Linked DNA regions of Drosophila melanogaster. The gene in region 1 interacts genetically with each later gene. Each region holds a gene or a part of one and is shown in the gene's direction. Other genes may lie near its edges.

Region 1 (5,450 bases):
GGCTGAGAAAACGGGCGCTGGACCCTGCGAAACTGTGCCAGGAGAGACAGCGGCCCGTTGCAGCTTCTCGAGGAACGTGGCTCTCTCCCTGTGCTTGTCCAGCCCGATTCCCAGCGCCGCCTTTCCGCGAATGGGAATGGGTTTTTTCACCGTCGGCGTGCCCTGGGAATGGCAACTTTCAGAGCGCTCAATGGCGTACAGCACGTTGTTCTCCTCCGTGATCGGAGTCGTCGTTCCGCTGGCACAGTCGAATAGAGATGGTTCCTGCACCGGCCGGGGATCGGGTATATCTATGGGAATTGGCGGCTCAGCTATCTTCTCACCGTTGGACACCTTCACCTGATTGAGCTTCTCGGCCAGAAGCGAGTCTATGGAATGTTCCTGCAGCCAGGCGCAAGTTTTGTGCAGAGCGAATATCATGCGGCGGATGAACTCGTGCGGCGAGACCATTTTCTGTCGCCTAATCTCGAGCAACTTGGTCACCTCGGTAACAAACGTGACGAACTGGTATTCGACGCAGTTGTCCAGATGCGACTGATGCGAGTCCTCGAACATGAAGCGTTTGGAGCATGCCGGACACTTGCGCTCCTTCCACATGGGCTCCGGTATGTTCACTTTGATGTCGCGCAGCTGCAGCTGATCCTGCTCCATGGGATCGTCCTCCTCGAAGTTGGTCTCGGTGTAGTTATAGCAGTTCTTGTGCTTGCGCAGCAGGGCCGCCTCCTCGTTGTCGTCGCTGGAACTGGCCACCGCATAGTCGTCATCTTCGTCGTCATTTTGGCCACTGCTCGATGGCAGTTCGCCATCCCGCGGTTGCCTGGGCATGCTGTTGTGAGGCTGCTGCTTGTTGAACAGCACGTTTAAGTACTGGATCTTCTGCTCAGCATTGCCGTCTAGCTGGGTAGTCGTCTGATTGAGCAGTCGCTTGTGTACCTTGTCCTTGGATGACTCCAGTTTGTTGGCGCTGTTGTTTAGCAGAAGATTATGCACTGGCCTCTGCTCCACATAATTCAGATCCTCCGCCGTGAAGAGGGCGCTCTCCTTGTCCATCTTGTTCGCATCCGAAACGTTGACCCTCTTCTGCTGGTAGAGCTCCGCCAGCTTGAGACTCAGCGCGTTCTTGATGCACTGTTCCCGGAATGTGACGGCATGCTTGAGATAGGAGATGCACGGCGCACATATGTTGCGTGGCAGTCCGTCGTCCGTGGAGTTCTGCGGTCGGTCGAAAGAGGAGGCACTCATATAAACATTTATCTGGCTACTTTAGAATGGAGTCACTTACTTTCAGGCCCGTCGTCTCCTCCAGCAGAACGTTTATGGGCTTTTGCCAGTTGAGAAACTCGTTTGTGGAGCCGTGCAAATACGTGGGAATCTTGGCGAATATCTCGTAGTCTGCGGGGCTGCTGCAGATGCGGCAGATATTGCCCCACGACGTCATACTTATGGCAAACCTTAAACTTAATGCTTATGCCGGAAAAAATAAACAATGACAATTTTCAACACTCCGGCGAGTGTTGCCCTACCACTGAAGGTTCAAAACTCAACAGTCCACCCACTTGCGGCAGTGATGTCCAGTTAGCTATAACAGGATTACAGCAAATTTTTTGAATATTAATTATTATTAGCTAAACACGTGACAGATATATTAATGACTAAGACGATAGTTTATTTAAGCATAAATAATACTGTTGAAAATACAAACGTAGATTTATTTGATATATATTTACAAAGCTAGATTTTATTAACACCAATTGGCAACAGTGGCCAACAGTCTGTTAATGCTCTTGATCTAGCTGAACTCGGGGGTCACACTGGTGCCCATCTGGAATTGCATAAACAAACCTCGCTACTGGAATAAAATCACAAATATGTCGTTTAATATCATGCAAAAGCTGACCATGCAGTGCCTGAAGGCAGACCAGCCGCTGATGAGTAAGGACTTCCCACGAACCGGTTGCATATTCTAATCAATTCAATCCCATTTAGCCACCGTGCGCAATGCCAGCAAGAAAACCGGCGGAAGTACGAGGAATAAGAAGGGCCATGCGAGGCCCAAACATCGCGGATGGCGCGTCCAGGATGGGCACCACGTCTCCGAGGGCACAATACTGGCCACCCAGCTCACAACGCGCTTTCATCCGGGCCTGAATGTGAGTAGCGCAGGAAGGAGTTATCCCGGCATATTTTTATACTTTTTCCCATTGAAAGGTGGGCTTTGGCCGCAATGGAACCCTTTTCGCCATGGAGCACGGCAAGGTTTATGTGACCTGCGAGGCCATCGATCCCAACTGGGACCACACCTGGATTCAGCGGAACTACGCCGGTCGCCAGGGCCAGAACATCTACAAGAAGTTCTTCAATGTTGTGCCCGAAAATCAGCATCAGCGATTTCGTCTAGTGGAGGAAATCTAGATTGTTAAATACAAAATTTAAACCAAATGGAAATGTGAATATTTGAATTTTTGGCAATTAACATCGATGTGCTTAACAGCACCTGTTATATTTACATGCCAGCACGACCGTTATACAGCACTGTATTTAGCAATGCTCTGAACCAACTATCGAATACACGCCCCGAATTTGAAAAGAAATCCAGTTAATAGCCAGATATCAATGCAACATTTTCGATTATTAATTTCGCAAAACTTTTTACATTGCGAACTTCAAAAACAAAAACTACACTTCCCCCTTTTTTAGCCAAGCCGAACGCTATTGAACTGTAAAATGAACTTTAATAATAAGCCATAATCATCTATAAGAAATTATAAAATTATGCACATGACGGTATAGGCACTGCCTACAGAATTTCGCTTAAATCAAGTACACGTTTTATCCTATGAATGTAAAAACTTATTTAGTATTGTTGTAGTGAAATTCAATTTAACGCTTATATATGCAGTATTATGTTTAATTATTCATGATTATATATTTTCATAATGCATATAGACTTAAATTTATCTTAAATATAATGGTGTGTACGAGATATTTTTTCAGACTAAAATGGTAGTTAGGGGTATATGTTTTCTGTCCGGATGGTATTTCGTATTTTTTGTTATCGCCGCCGGGCGGTCACACTGCTACAACCGCAGCCAACTTCGCTTCTTTCTTTCCTACAATTTTAAAGATGGTGAGTGGACGTCGGTAAATGTGGTGCACCTAAAATGTGGTTTGTGGGCAGGCGAATGATGTGGAATAGAAATAAGAGCTCACTCAAAGTGCCGCAGCATGCCTGCCCACTGACTGCAATGGCCAAGTGAGCATAGCGACTGGAGCAAGTAAACATAACCTCCAGCACGTGGGTGAAAATGATTGAGGAATGCTCAATGAAAACACGTTTCTTTTCTGCTCTCCCTTACAGTCGAATATCAAGCGGAAGAAGACCAGGAAGCTGCGTGGTCATGTGAGCCACGGTCACGGCCGTATCGGCAAGCACCGCAAGCATCCCGGAGGTCGCGGTAACGCTGGTGGCATGCACCATCACCGCATCAACTTCGACAAATACCATCCTGGTTACTTCGGCAAGGTGGGCATGAGGAACTTCCATCTGCGTCGCCAGCACAAGTTCAGGCCCGAGATCAACCTGGACAAGCTCTGGTCCCTGGTCGGAGCCGAGAAGTTCGCCGAGCTGGAGAAGGAGAAGAGCACCAAGGCTCCCGTCATCGACTTGGTTAAATTCGTAAGTTTCGCCCGAATTCCCCATCCAGCTACGCGAACTCTGCTGCCGCTTTCAACATGAAGATACACCCAAGGCGATGGGCGGACAGAATGCTACCGTACAATTGCTCTCACCGTGTAGAGGACAGCCTTTCAGATCAAAGCCAGCAGTTCTTGAAGAGGATGTGCACCCGTTCTCACCCCGTTGTAACCCATTGTATTGACTCTGGTGTCCTTCTCATGTCTCCACAGGGCTACTACAAGCTGCTGGGCCGTGGTCACCTGCCCGCCCGCCCCGTCATCGTGAAGGCCAAGTACTTCTCTAAGAAGGCTGAGGACAAGATCAAGAAGGCCGGCGGTGTGTGCTTGCTGAGCGCCTAAGTTAAGGTGAGCTTGTGTGTCTAGCTGTCTTACCTATTCGTCGGCGAAGCAATGAAGTGCAGTATCCTAATTGCTATTGTTTCCCTTGCAGATTCCTCCTCTACAGAAGAAAAAAGCAAGTGGACTACATTCGACCATCAAAAATGTATTTGTTTTTTAATAAATTTAAAAGAAAAACAAGTATTTGCTATTCCGACAAAATGTGTTTACTAAAAGGTATTGGGGCTTCATTTTCTGCTCGCTTGGCGCAAGTTGTTTAGAACTTTCTATTTCTATTCCTGCTACAACTTTCCTTTATATTTTTATAAAGAATAATTTCTATATGGTTAGTTTGTTGTGGCAAAGGAAAACTTGTATTTTGAATCAAATAACAAGGGCAAATTTAAATGAGTTTGACAATATTAGAAGTATGCCTATTTTTGTAACTTAAGAGGAACAGTAATAATATAAAGAAAATAAATAGTAATTTAAAGAGTATAACTGCGTCGGTGCGCATTATCAGTTAATCCCTCCATTTTTAGCACTATTCTCGACTAGGCTTTTTGCGCCTTCGCAGCTACGGTCACACAGCGGCGGGCAGAAAGCTCGCGGAAAAATTCGGAAGAGGCGGAAAAGTACGAGACGCCCGATATTGCAAAAAGCGGAAGCAGATTACGTGTAGGTCAAGGCCGTAGGGATGAGGGCAACTTCCATCTTTGACCTTGCTGTTGGTGATGGGGTGCGGCGACCTTGGGTCAAGGACACGACCGAACAAGAGGCACCGAATCCAGGAAACGTAGTCAAAGTGGAGGGCATGCCTGTGTGGGCGGGGGATGTTCCAGTAAAAACAAAGTAACTTGATTATGACCTCTGTGTTGCAGTTAGGAAACGAACTTGTTGACTTTGTAACATTACATAATCGGAAGCCCAGAGTGAGGAGAACTGCTGCGAGATGGCCAACAAAGTGCTGCGAAAGGTGACGCACTGCGTCTTCGACATGGACGGTCTGCTGCTGGGTGAGTGCTGCCGTGCTTGTATCTGCTTTCTGTGTTAACTATTTGCCGAACAGACACCGAACGCCTTTATACTGTGGCCACCGAAATGATCCTCGAGCCCTACGGCAAGACATATCCCTTTGAGATCAAGGAGCAGGTCATGGGCCTGCAGACGGAACCGCTGGCCCGGTTCATGGTCGAGCACTACGAGCTGCCGATGTCGTGGGAGGAGTACGCACGCCAGCAGCGCGCCAACACCGAGATCCTGATGCGGAACGCCCAGTTGATGCCAGGTACTAATCCCAGTTCTCGCTTTGCCGTCACGTTTCAGACACGGAGAGGATATACGAGGAGGTCACCCGGCAAATAGCCGCCTCCTTTGGCCGCCCGTATCCGGAGGAAGTGCGTTTCCGGGTAATGGGCACCACGGACCAGCGCTCG
Region 2 (9,828 bases), on another chromosome or scaffold:
TATCAAATGGGAACAGATCTAAAAACTGGTTCCTGGCTTCCTGCCCGCTATCCAAAAGGGGTCGCAATCGCATTAAGGACGCACTCCTCGGGCGGACTTAACGGATTTCCAGCTCTAATCTGCACATTGTCTGCCCATCGGAAGTTCGAGGGCATGTGTGTGTGCGGAGCGTGCTGGCTGTATATAGCCGCGATTTCGATATATCTAAGTATGTACAATATATACCCATTTACAAAGCCAAAAGTTGCAGTTCAGAAGTTAGCGCCGGGGAGGCATGGGAAAGCGGGTTTCATAATAACAAAAGGGGGTGGGGAGGCATTATAAAATGGAGGATCGGTTGGTGGGAAAACGTATTTAATCGAGGACAGATCGACCTTCTGCAGAGGGCGGCCGATGCGTTGAGAGCTAACCCGTTTTAGGCATTTCAAAATTCAGTTTTGTACTCAAAACAAAAATAAACAGAATAAAGAAATGATCCCCTATCAACACTTTCAGTAAATTTAAAATAGGAAAAAACAGGCAGGTCTCGAATGAAAAACCATAAATCACATGATTCGTATTGATGGAAAACTTACTATAAATATCAAAAGATAATATAAAACGATGCCGATGATCACGAAAAGTGTCCTTTGATCAAAAACAGCCCAAAACATAACCGAAGAACCTTTGTTGTGCCAACAAATGTAAACAACTTGCACACTCCTCCGACTTTTCTTTACTGTTTCCCGTTTTTTCGGGAGTTTTTTGTAAACAATTTGTAGGGGACATGTGTAACAATCGCCAGAGATCATTAGGATTTCAACGCCGATCGGACAGCTGCATATTTTCCCCCACCAATTTTCGCCTCTTCCATTTTCCCTTGGCTAATTGTCGCGGGCCCAAAAGAAAGTCCATTCAAAATGGTTACGGATCGTTCCTGCCAAAAATCCATTGTTCTTAAGTAAATAGAGAGGGGCCAAGTCAACGAAAACTGAGGAAATATATATGTATGTGCACACAAGGAGCACAAATGATCGCTGAAAAATCCATGACATGTGTCCCAAGCAATCCAAGGATCCTGGGATTCGGCCAAGATGGAGTAGCGCACACGGGCCAAAGAACAGCTGGCAGTCGGAAAAGTGTGTGGAAAACGGTGGAAAGCCAGCCAATGCATGGCCACCTAACCAAAACACAATTTTGTGGGAGTGTCGCAAAGGCAAAGAATAAAAAAAAAAAGAAAACCAAAAAAAAAAAAAAAAGGAAAAGGTAAAAAGAAAAACAGAAGGAAACCCGAAACACACTCATTCCCCGTTTTTCACCACACGAAAGAAAATAAAAAACACCCCCAGAACGCAGAAAAAAAATCACTCAAACAAGCGTTTTCCAATGGAAAGTGGTGAACCGGCTGTGGTGTAATTTTTTCCGAGGGTTGAATGACGTCGCCAGCGGGGGAGGGGGATGGGGAGGAGCGGTCGGAAGCCGCTGCCGACGTCGCTGCCGACGTCGCTGCCGGCAGCACTGCCAGCGCCACAACCAAAACAACAAACCACAATTCACTTACACAACGCCGCAGCCGCAGTCGCAGTCGGTCCGCTGCCGCCGCGCTGCCCGCTTTTCCGCTTTTCCACTGCTGCCTTTTGTAAATAAAGAAGAATGCGCAAATTGGCGGCACAAATTGTTAAATACACTTTTCAGTATATTTTCAAATATATTCATAACGAAATAATAAGTTTGTTTTCCCTAAAAAAAAAAAACAAAACATTTATGCACGTTTTATAATACTTTACAAATATTTGTTGAATAAATTGATTATTGTATTTATTATAAACGCTTTTGAGCTATTAAAAGATATTTAATTTTTTACTACAAAATATGTTTCATGCTTAAATTAAATAATTTAAATTGAATTTCAGTTTCACTTTATACAGATGCTTAGTTAAAACAGTTTTTCGTCGTTATAATCGTTTCAAAAACGCATCAATATTGTTATTGTTCACTTGTCATTTGAAATAGTTAAACTAACCAAACACCGAAGGGTACAAAAATGTTCCTCGATTGGCAGTCGCTTTTGTTTTTTATTCTCCTGTGGCAGTGAGCATTTCCCCTGCGCCACTGGAATTTCCACGGTGCCAGAGTTTTCCGCTCTCTGTCGGTAATTTTTGTTGGGGGTTCTGGGGTTCTCCGTGGTCAATGGCTCCTGGCTCCTGGGATCCCTGTGCATTCAGTATAGCCTGGATAACGGTTGTGCGAGGAGCTCCATGAGGAGAGGCGGAGCCACGATCGGCGCAGCCGTCTCGTTCTCTCCCATAACGATCGCCCTACTAATAAATCATCCCCTCTTGGATGTCAGCTATTTCCGTAGCATCTGCTCGCCAACGGTTGGCCGATCTCTGCGGTTACCCCAGCCCCTCGAGCGTAGGTGCCTCTCTTTCGTTCGCCTGGTGCCGTCTCTTTCTGCGAGGGGGAGGGATCTTGCGCACGTATATGAATAATTCAACTGATCGCCGTGGTGATTGGGGGATGAACGGAGTACTGGTTTGTCCGTTCCTCGGAGGTGCGGAATGCACAGATCGTAGTTCTGATACCCATTCATTTCGAGGAAATTTATTCAGGAACGTCACGGTATTTGCATAAGTGAAATCGTATCTCACAGTTAGCAGCCTGTATCGTAGATTGATTACTAAAATACTTTTCTAAATAATCTGCACTAAGATATAGTTCAGATTGCGTAAGATCGGTAAGTACAGAAGCTTTTAATCGCACTGGAAGTTTTATTTACCGCTCACGACATTTGCATAGATGAAACCGTATCTTACAGATTCAAGTAGCTTGCGTACTAAACTACTGTACAAAAAATATCTGCACTAAGAAATAGTCGGGAGTGATTTTTTATGGTGAAGTACAGAAGTAAATTCAGCTAATTAAGCCTCGCTCTTTTTTGTTTTAAATTAACTGCTCAACAGCAGTGAGAAAAACATTGCATATATTGAGTACATGAATACAGGTTACTGTCGCCTTAATCTCCCATCGGTTAATCCCGCTAAAAAGCGAAGTCCTTTGAGTTTTTGGTGGCCAGGTAGGCACTTTCCGTATCAGATGCTCGTTGCTTATTTTTTGGGAACATATTTTATGGCCCGTGGCGGCGGCTAATCGGCCAAAATATTTGCGGGGCGTGCTGCTTAATCCGGGCGATTGACTTTCATAAGCAAAGGATTAAGATTGCGCGGTTGGACTACCTGTTTTGAGGTGCGATATCAGTACATGCGATGGTACATCTGAGGGCCAGGTACGTCAAAGCCAGTAAACCCATAGTTTTCCCACTTTTTTGGGGCCGCAAAAAAGCATCGGAGGGCCCATAAAAAAAGGGTTGATCCTTTTGGCTGCTGTGGGCTCGTAGCGAGTTCGGTATGGAGATCAGGTACTGCCTGGTGCTCGGTGATCCCTATGAGGCGGTCCTGCGGGTCCTGCGATGCGCGTGCTGCGGCAGCTCCTGTCGCAAATTGCCAAGGAATCGCAGCAGGATCCAAGAAGCGACGACAGGAGCGCTGATTTCCCGGGAAACCGGCAATCGTCAATCGGCCATCGGCAATCGCGTCCTTGTCGCACGCCCGCTAAACCTGCGCTGTCCTGCCATATATCCCGGGGCTATATGGTGTGAAATCGGTGTAGGGACACGAGGTCCTTCGCAGCGAGCGGCCGCGCACGTACAAAAGGCAGCGCTGCCGATACACTGGATTTACTGGAAGTGTGCGTCTATAATGTCCAGCTGAGAGCGGCGCGTTCTCGCGACATTTTGGTTGGTCTTGCCTCGTAGTTCCCCTACCAGAATGGCCATGCTCCCCATTCCTTCTCCTCCTCCTCCACGCGGTGCCTGGAAGAGTCCGCCACCTCGGAAAACTCGCGGGTCCTGTGTGGCCTCGTTTTTAAGGTTGTTTTGGTGGGCCGCAATTTTTTGGCCAGTCAGGCACTTGATTTGCGTTCCACTGCACGAAATGAGTGTTGAAGGAATTGAGAATATTACTTTAAATTGTCAAGTCAAGTGTCAAGTGTTATTCAGCAGCTCTTAAGAATTAATACACAGTTAATCCATTTTACATTAAGTTAATTAAATCGTTCATATTTCGTTTTTGAAGCTAAGTTTCGTAATCTGAATTACTATCTATGTATGTGCTAATCACTTAGCCAATCGCTAAGCAAAATGTACAAATCTTAAAACCTAAGTAAACGTAGATTAGTTTGAAGAGAGTTCAATGTAGGCAGCCAAAGATACTCGATGTTCTTCCAAGTATGACACTTCCGCATCAGATTAAATCCGATCAGCTAGCTAAACCTGATCCAATCAAGGATCGGCGATCGCAGGCAGCGAAAATGGAAATGAAATCGAGCCGGATTGCGCCACACGAACTGAGAGGCGCACAAATATTTACAGGACTAATCGCAGGATAATCGCCCGATCAGCATTAGGATTAAGTTCGATCCCCGGAGAGATCGATGGCACTGCATCTTAGATAGTACTGGAAGTGGACCGGACCTGACAATGGGTGTTAGTTGGACAGATTCAGATCGGAGATTGCAGATCAGTTGATCGAGTTCCGAGTTCCGAGATCGGCGATAAAGTAAATTTTGGGCGGAATCGAGAAAAACATTGAGCAACACTGAGGGATCAGTGTGCCGTAATATGATCAGCCGGGGATTTCTGATTATTTTGAATGAAACACTAATTTTTGGGACATTTTCGAACAATGGGACGCACTGTTATGCACGTGTATATGTTTATTAATTAGATCTGATCTTAAATTACTTAACTTAACTTATTTGAAATGAAATTATATGGATAACGTTGATGCATATTCAAAAAAAAAAAAATTAACACTGGAAATGATTAGTTTTTTGAACAGATTATTAAAACGATTTGTAGCACTAATAATGATGTATTTAAAATATCGTGCTTATGTTGATATATATATTATATATATATATATATATATATTATTATATTTATTATATTTTTTTCGGCATCTTCATCTTAATCGATAAGATACCTTCGAAAGCAATTAAATATATGATAATAAATACAAATATAAAGGAAAATATAATTCATCTTATGATAGTATGGGATAGTGTGTACTATATGTACTATAGATTATTATCATAATTGAAAATCCCATGTTCCAAAATTTTCCAAACTCCACAATCGTATCACCCATGAAATTAAAAGGCTTAAATCCTTTTATCCCAAAGTCATAGTGATATAGCTCTCCTGATGCTTGTGATAATATTTATGATAATTTCGCAACCTGATCCCTCCTCGCACTGACTAATTGAGTCCTCATGTCCTGTCGGCAGGACGCCCCTGGCATCCTAGCTACTCGGGAAAGGGAAGGCAAGGGAACGAGAAGGAGATGGTGAAGGGAACCCCCCGTTTGGCCATGGGTGCCTACCTGTACCACCCGCCCCCGCCCCCCTCGACGAACCCCTCCGCAGGAGGGCCGCCAAAACACGCGCGCCGCTGGAAGTGGAAAATGGGAAACTGTTGCACGGCCGTTTTTCTTTTGGCGTGCGTGGCGAAAAAATAAAATTCAAAGCGAAGAAAAGGAAAACGCACACAATTTCCAGACCGCCCGTGGGGAAAAGCGAGAGAGGAAGCGAGAGCCAGAGCGAGAGAGTGGAAAAGTCTCGGTGTATTTCTTTTTTGAGTTTTTCTTTGGTGCAATTTCCAGGCCATCACTCTCTCTCTCTCTTTCTCGCTCTCGCCCATGCGATTTTCCTTTTTTCCGCTGTTATTTTTTCCTTTTTGGCCACAAGTAACAAGCGACTTCTCTCTCACGTACACAGGCACACTAACACGACAGCCAAACACACACACACACACAAACACACAGAGAGACCGCAATGGAAAAATGGGAAATTTTTTGCTGTGGTTGTTGTTGCGGCGGCAATGGTGGTTGCTCGATATACCGATATATACCTGCCCCGGCACCCTTAAAGGCGCGCCTGTGTGCGTAGGTAGCCAACCACACCACCATACCGCCCAGGATAATGGGCGGGAAAGAGACGGCGCTAGCGCCGTGCAAGTGGGACGGGGCACAAACGCCGGCAGAGCCGTCGACAGAGGCGGCGAGCAGCGCATTCCACTTTAAATACTGCCAACGATCGCAGCAGAGAATCAGTTCACTCAGCGACTTTAGCGTGTCGAGAACGCACAGAGAAATATATCGTTTTCGACTTTGGAAAACAGAAACAGGCTCGAAAGAAGCAGAGTTCGAAATCGCGAAACAATCCAATAACAACAAACAAACGAATTTTTTCCAAGTGACCCCCGATAAAGTGAAGTGCATACCGAGAATCCGCAATAGAAAACCGGCAATTGTCGACAGCCCCAGGATTACGGCTACGATTTCCACATTCGGATACGAGATGCATCTGCCAGCGGGTCCAACGATGGTGGCCAACAACACACAGGTCCTGGCCGCTGCCGCCGCCGCAGCAGCCGCCGCAGCGGCCGCGGTAGCCCAGGGTCCTGGGCCGCAGCAGAGTAGCAATGCCACCACCGCCTCCGCAATCGCCATCAATCCCGCCCAGAGTCTGGCCAACACGAGCACCCACTCGGCCAGCAGCACGGGCAGCTCCACACCAGATCTCAGCACGAACAACACCAGCTCGAGCAGCAACGCCACCACCAGTCCGCAGAACTCCGCCAAGATGCCCAGCTCGATGACCGACATGTTCGCCAGCCTGCACGAGATGCTGCAGGAGTATCACGGCGAGCTGGCCCAGACCGGATCGCCCTCGATCCTCTGCAGCGCCCTGCCCAATCACTGGCGGTCGAACAAGTCGCTGCCCGGAGCCTTCAAGGTGATCGCCCTGGACGACGTGCCCGATGGCACCCTGGTGTCCATCAAGTGCGGCAACGACGAAAACTACTGCGGCGAGCTGAGGAACTGCACCACGACCATGAAGAACCAGGTGGCCAAGTTCAACGATCTGCGCTTCGTGGGACGATCGGGACGCGGCAAGTCCTTCACGCTGACCATCACCATTGCCACCTATCCGGTGCAGATCGCCAGCTACAGCAAAGCCATCAAGGTGACCGTCGACGGGCCACGGGAGCCAAGAAGTAAGCAAAGTGAGTTTTTTAGTTTCCATTATGTTTTCAGTTTAATCCACTCCCAAAGATCCCCAAAAAACCAATTCAGAAACCGTTTGCATATCTTCAATTACAATATTCATAGTTTTGAAAACATTTGCCAACACTAACTAGTTATGATCTTAAATAACTAATGCCATTTTTAAGCTCAACTTTAAATGATCAGTCTGTTTTGAAATGATTGCATTGATCACTTTATCTTAAAGATTTTATCATTATTTTTGCTTATCCTTTTGCAATTCGGTTTTGATACACATATCCAAGGATCTTGAGATCCATTGCCGCCAACCAAATCCCCCACCATCCCCCCAACCTTTTTAAAAACGCATTCCGATGAAATACGAGTTGTGCTTTACTGACTTCCCGCCCTTTTTCTTTATCCTTCCAGGCTATGGCTATCCCCATCCCGGCGCGTTTAACCCGTTCATGCTGAATCCCGCTTGGCTGGATGCGGCGTACATGACCTACGGCTATGCGGACTACTTCCGCCACCAGGCAGCCGCCCAGGCGGCCCAGGTGCATCATCCGGCACTGGCCAAGTCCTCGGCTTCCTCGGTGTCGCCAAATCCCAATCCATCGGTGGCCACCAGCTCCTCGTCGGCGGTTCAGCCATCTGAGTATCCCCATCCGGCGGCAGCAGTGGCAGCGGCGGCGGGACAACCGGCGGCCATGATGCCATCGCCACCGGGAGCGGCGCCTGCCACGCCCTATGCCATTCCGCAGTTCCCATTCAACCATGTGGCCGCCGCAGCCGCCGCCAAGGCAGCCACGCCACACGCCTTCCATCCGTATAACTTTGCCGCGGCAGCTGGCTTGCGGGCCCGCAATGCTGCCCTGCACCACCAGAGCGAGCCGGTCCACGTCAGCCCCGCCTCCTCCAGGCCCTCCAGCTCCTCGCCCACCCAGCAACACGTCCTGCTGAAGCTAAACACCTCCATCGAGACGAGCTCCATCCACGAGCAGTCCGCCAGTGACGGCGACTCCGACGACGAGCAGATCGACGTGGTCAAATCGGAGTTCGACCTGGACAAGAGCCTGGATGTGGCGCCACTTCGCATGCGCTGCGACCTGAAGGCGCCCTCGGCCATGAAGCCGCTCTACCACGAGAGCGGTCCTGGAGCGGTAGCCAACAGCCGCCAGCCGTCGCCGGAAACGACCACCAAGATCAAGAGCGCCGCCGTGCAGCAGAAGACCGTGTGGCGGCCCTACTAGGGCATCTGATCCCCAAAAATCTGGAGGAATGAAGAAAACAAAGTGATATAACAGCGGCGACGCAGAGCGGCAAGCGGGCAAAAATTATAATTGTGATATAGTGTTATAAGTTACGACGCCTCCGGCCGGCAAACGGAGCAGCCTCATCAGTGGGATAGAAGGATAAACGGCAGCGGGAGCAGCAGCATCAACTAGCTGAGCAAAAGTTATGGATAGAGGATAATGGATAATGGATATAGGACAAAGGACCCCAATCCTGGAAATCAGACTCCGGCGAAGTTTTATGCTCGGACTCATAAAATCGTGCGACGAGTTTGAATCACAGGCCCTCGATTTTCACCAGGATTTTTTACAAATCCCAGCAGAAAACACGAAAACTCAAAAACTCAGCCCAAAAAGAAAATACCAAGAAAGCAAACTTTAGTTCAATTTCATTTCAACACAAAACAACAACAACACAATTTGTACATAGCTAACTAGTTGTAACACTCATAACTTTTTTTTTTTGAGAACCTATTTTTTTCGATGGATAATATGCGAATTTAGCTATTTTTAATCATTATGTTTAACTAGTCGTCTAAGCGAGAAATCAATTTTTTTGTCTAGCCATAAGTTTTAGCGCGAAAAGAGATCTAACACAAAAATCGAATTTGAAACAAAACCAAATAAAAAACAAAAATCACACACAAAAAGTATTTACAAAAATATGAAGTATTTGTTTTCATTTCTCAAAAGGTTTTCCCGATACTTTTAGGAAATCCCTTTCAGCTTAACTACGAAACATTTGAAAACTATCCAATCCCTGAATCAAAATGAAAAGCCATTTTTTCTTTTAATTAAAGTTTCCATAATATTTCTTAGATTCTAACTTTTTAGGATTCCACCTTAATGAACTAAAACGCCTATTTTAATTTGGATTTACCCTTTCAAAAAATGAACTTCCTATCACAGTTGGCCAGCAGGCCAGCAGAAATCGAAAATTAAATGATTATAAAATGCGACCGTGAATTGCCTCACATACTGAGAATCTAAATAAAATTATCAGACCAAAACAATTGGAAAACCCAACCGCGAATTAATATTTTCATTTTAACTTATCTCCGAGCATTAGCGATAACAACTATTTGTGGTTCTTAGCTGGGGGGGAAATCCAAGTGTCTGGCACTTTCATCAAATAATCTCTTTTCTAATCAATCAAAACAATCGTTGAGTAACCCCAACGATTCGATTTAGAATAGCTTATCACGATCGATGGGATCTGATTTTACTTAGGTTTTCCCATTAATTTAGTACTCAGGTATTTTGATATTTTGAAGAACCATCTAGTTTTGAGTTGGTTAGATACAAATGCGAACAGAGATATAAGCAACAGGAAATATTGTATCCATAATATTTTCTGCTGACATTGGACCAGTGATTCTTGCTCATACAGAGAGAAATCGTAGTGATTTTTTAAAACCCTGAAATATTTTAACAATCTGTCCGCTGGT

Evidence for each region. Genes that interact genetically often act in the same process or in processes that back each other up.
Region 2: of RpL27A (region 1) and run, changing one enhances a phenotype caused by changing the other (phenotypic enhancement), as found in Drosophila melanogaster (one study listed by BioGRID).

What each region holds. Positions count from the first base shown.
Region 1 is NT_033779.5:4,455,966-4,461,415, reverse strand, and holds RpL27A (ribosomal protein L27A), read left to right. Parts: upstream 1-3,051; 5' UTR 3,052-3,124; coding exon 3,125-3,127; intron 3,128-3,358; coding exon 3,359-3,676; intron 3,677-3,741; exon of another isoform or gene 3,742-3,813; intron 3,814-3,906; coding exon 3,907-4,035; 3' UTR 4,036-4,041; intron 4,042-4,126; 3' UTR 4,127-4,230; downstream 4,231-5,450. Other genes in the region: CG15435 (uncharacterized protein), read right to left, coding at 1-1,212, 1,283-1,438; mRpL27 (mitochondrial ribosomal protein L27), read left to right, coding at 1,884-1,932, 1,987-2,150, 2,209-2,412; Gs1l (GS1-like), read left to right, coding at 4,967-5,030, 5,084-5,302.
Region 2 is NC_004354.4:20,688,297-20,698,124, forward strand, and holds run (runt), read left to right. Parts: upstream 1-2,373; 5' UTR 2,374-2,716; intron 2,717-5,814; 5' UTR 5,815-6,396; coding exon 6,397-7,105; intron 7,106-7,514; coding exon 7,515-8,338; 3' UTR 8,339-9,025; downstream 9,026-9,828. UniProt on the Drosophila melanogaster protein: Plays a pivotal role in regulating the expression of other pair-rule genes such as eve, ftz, and h.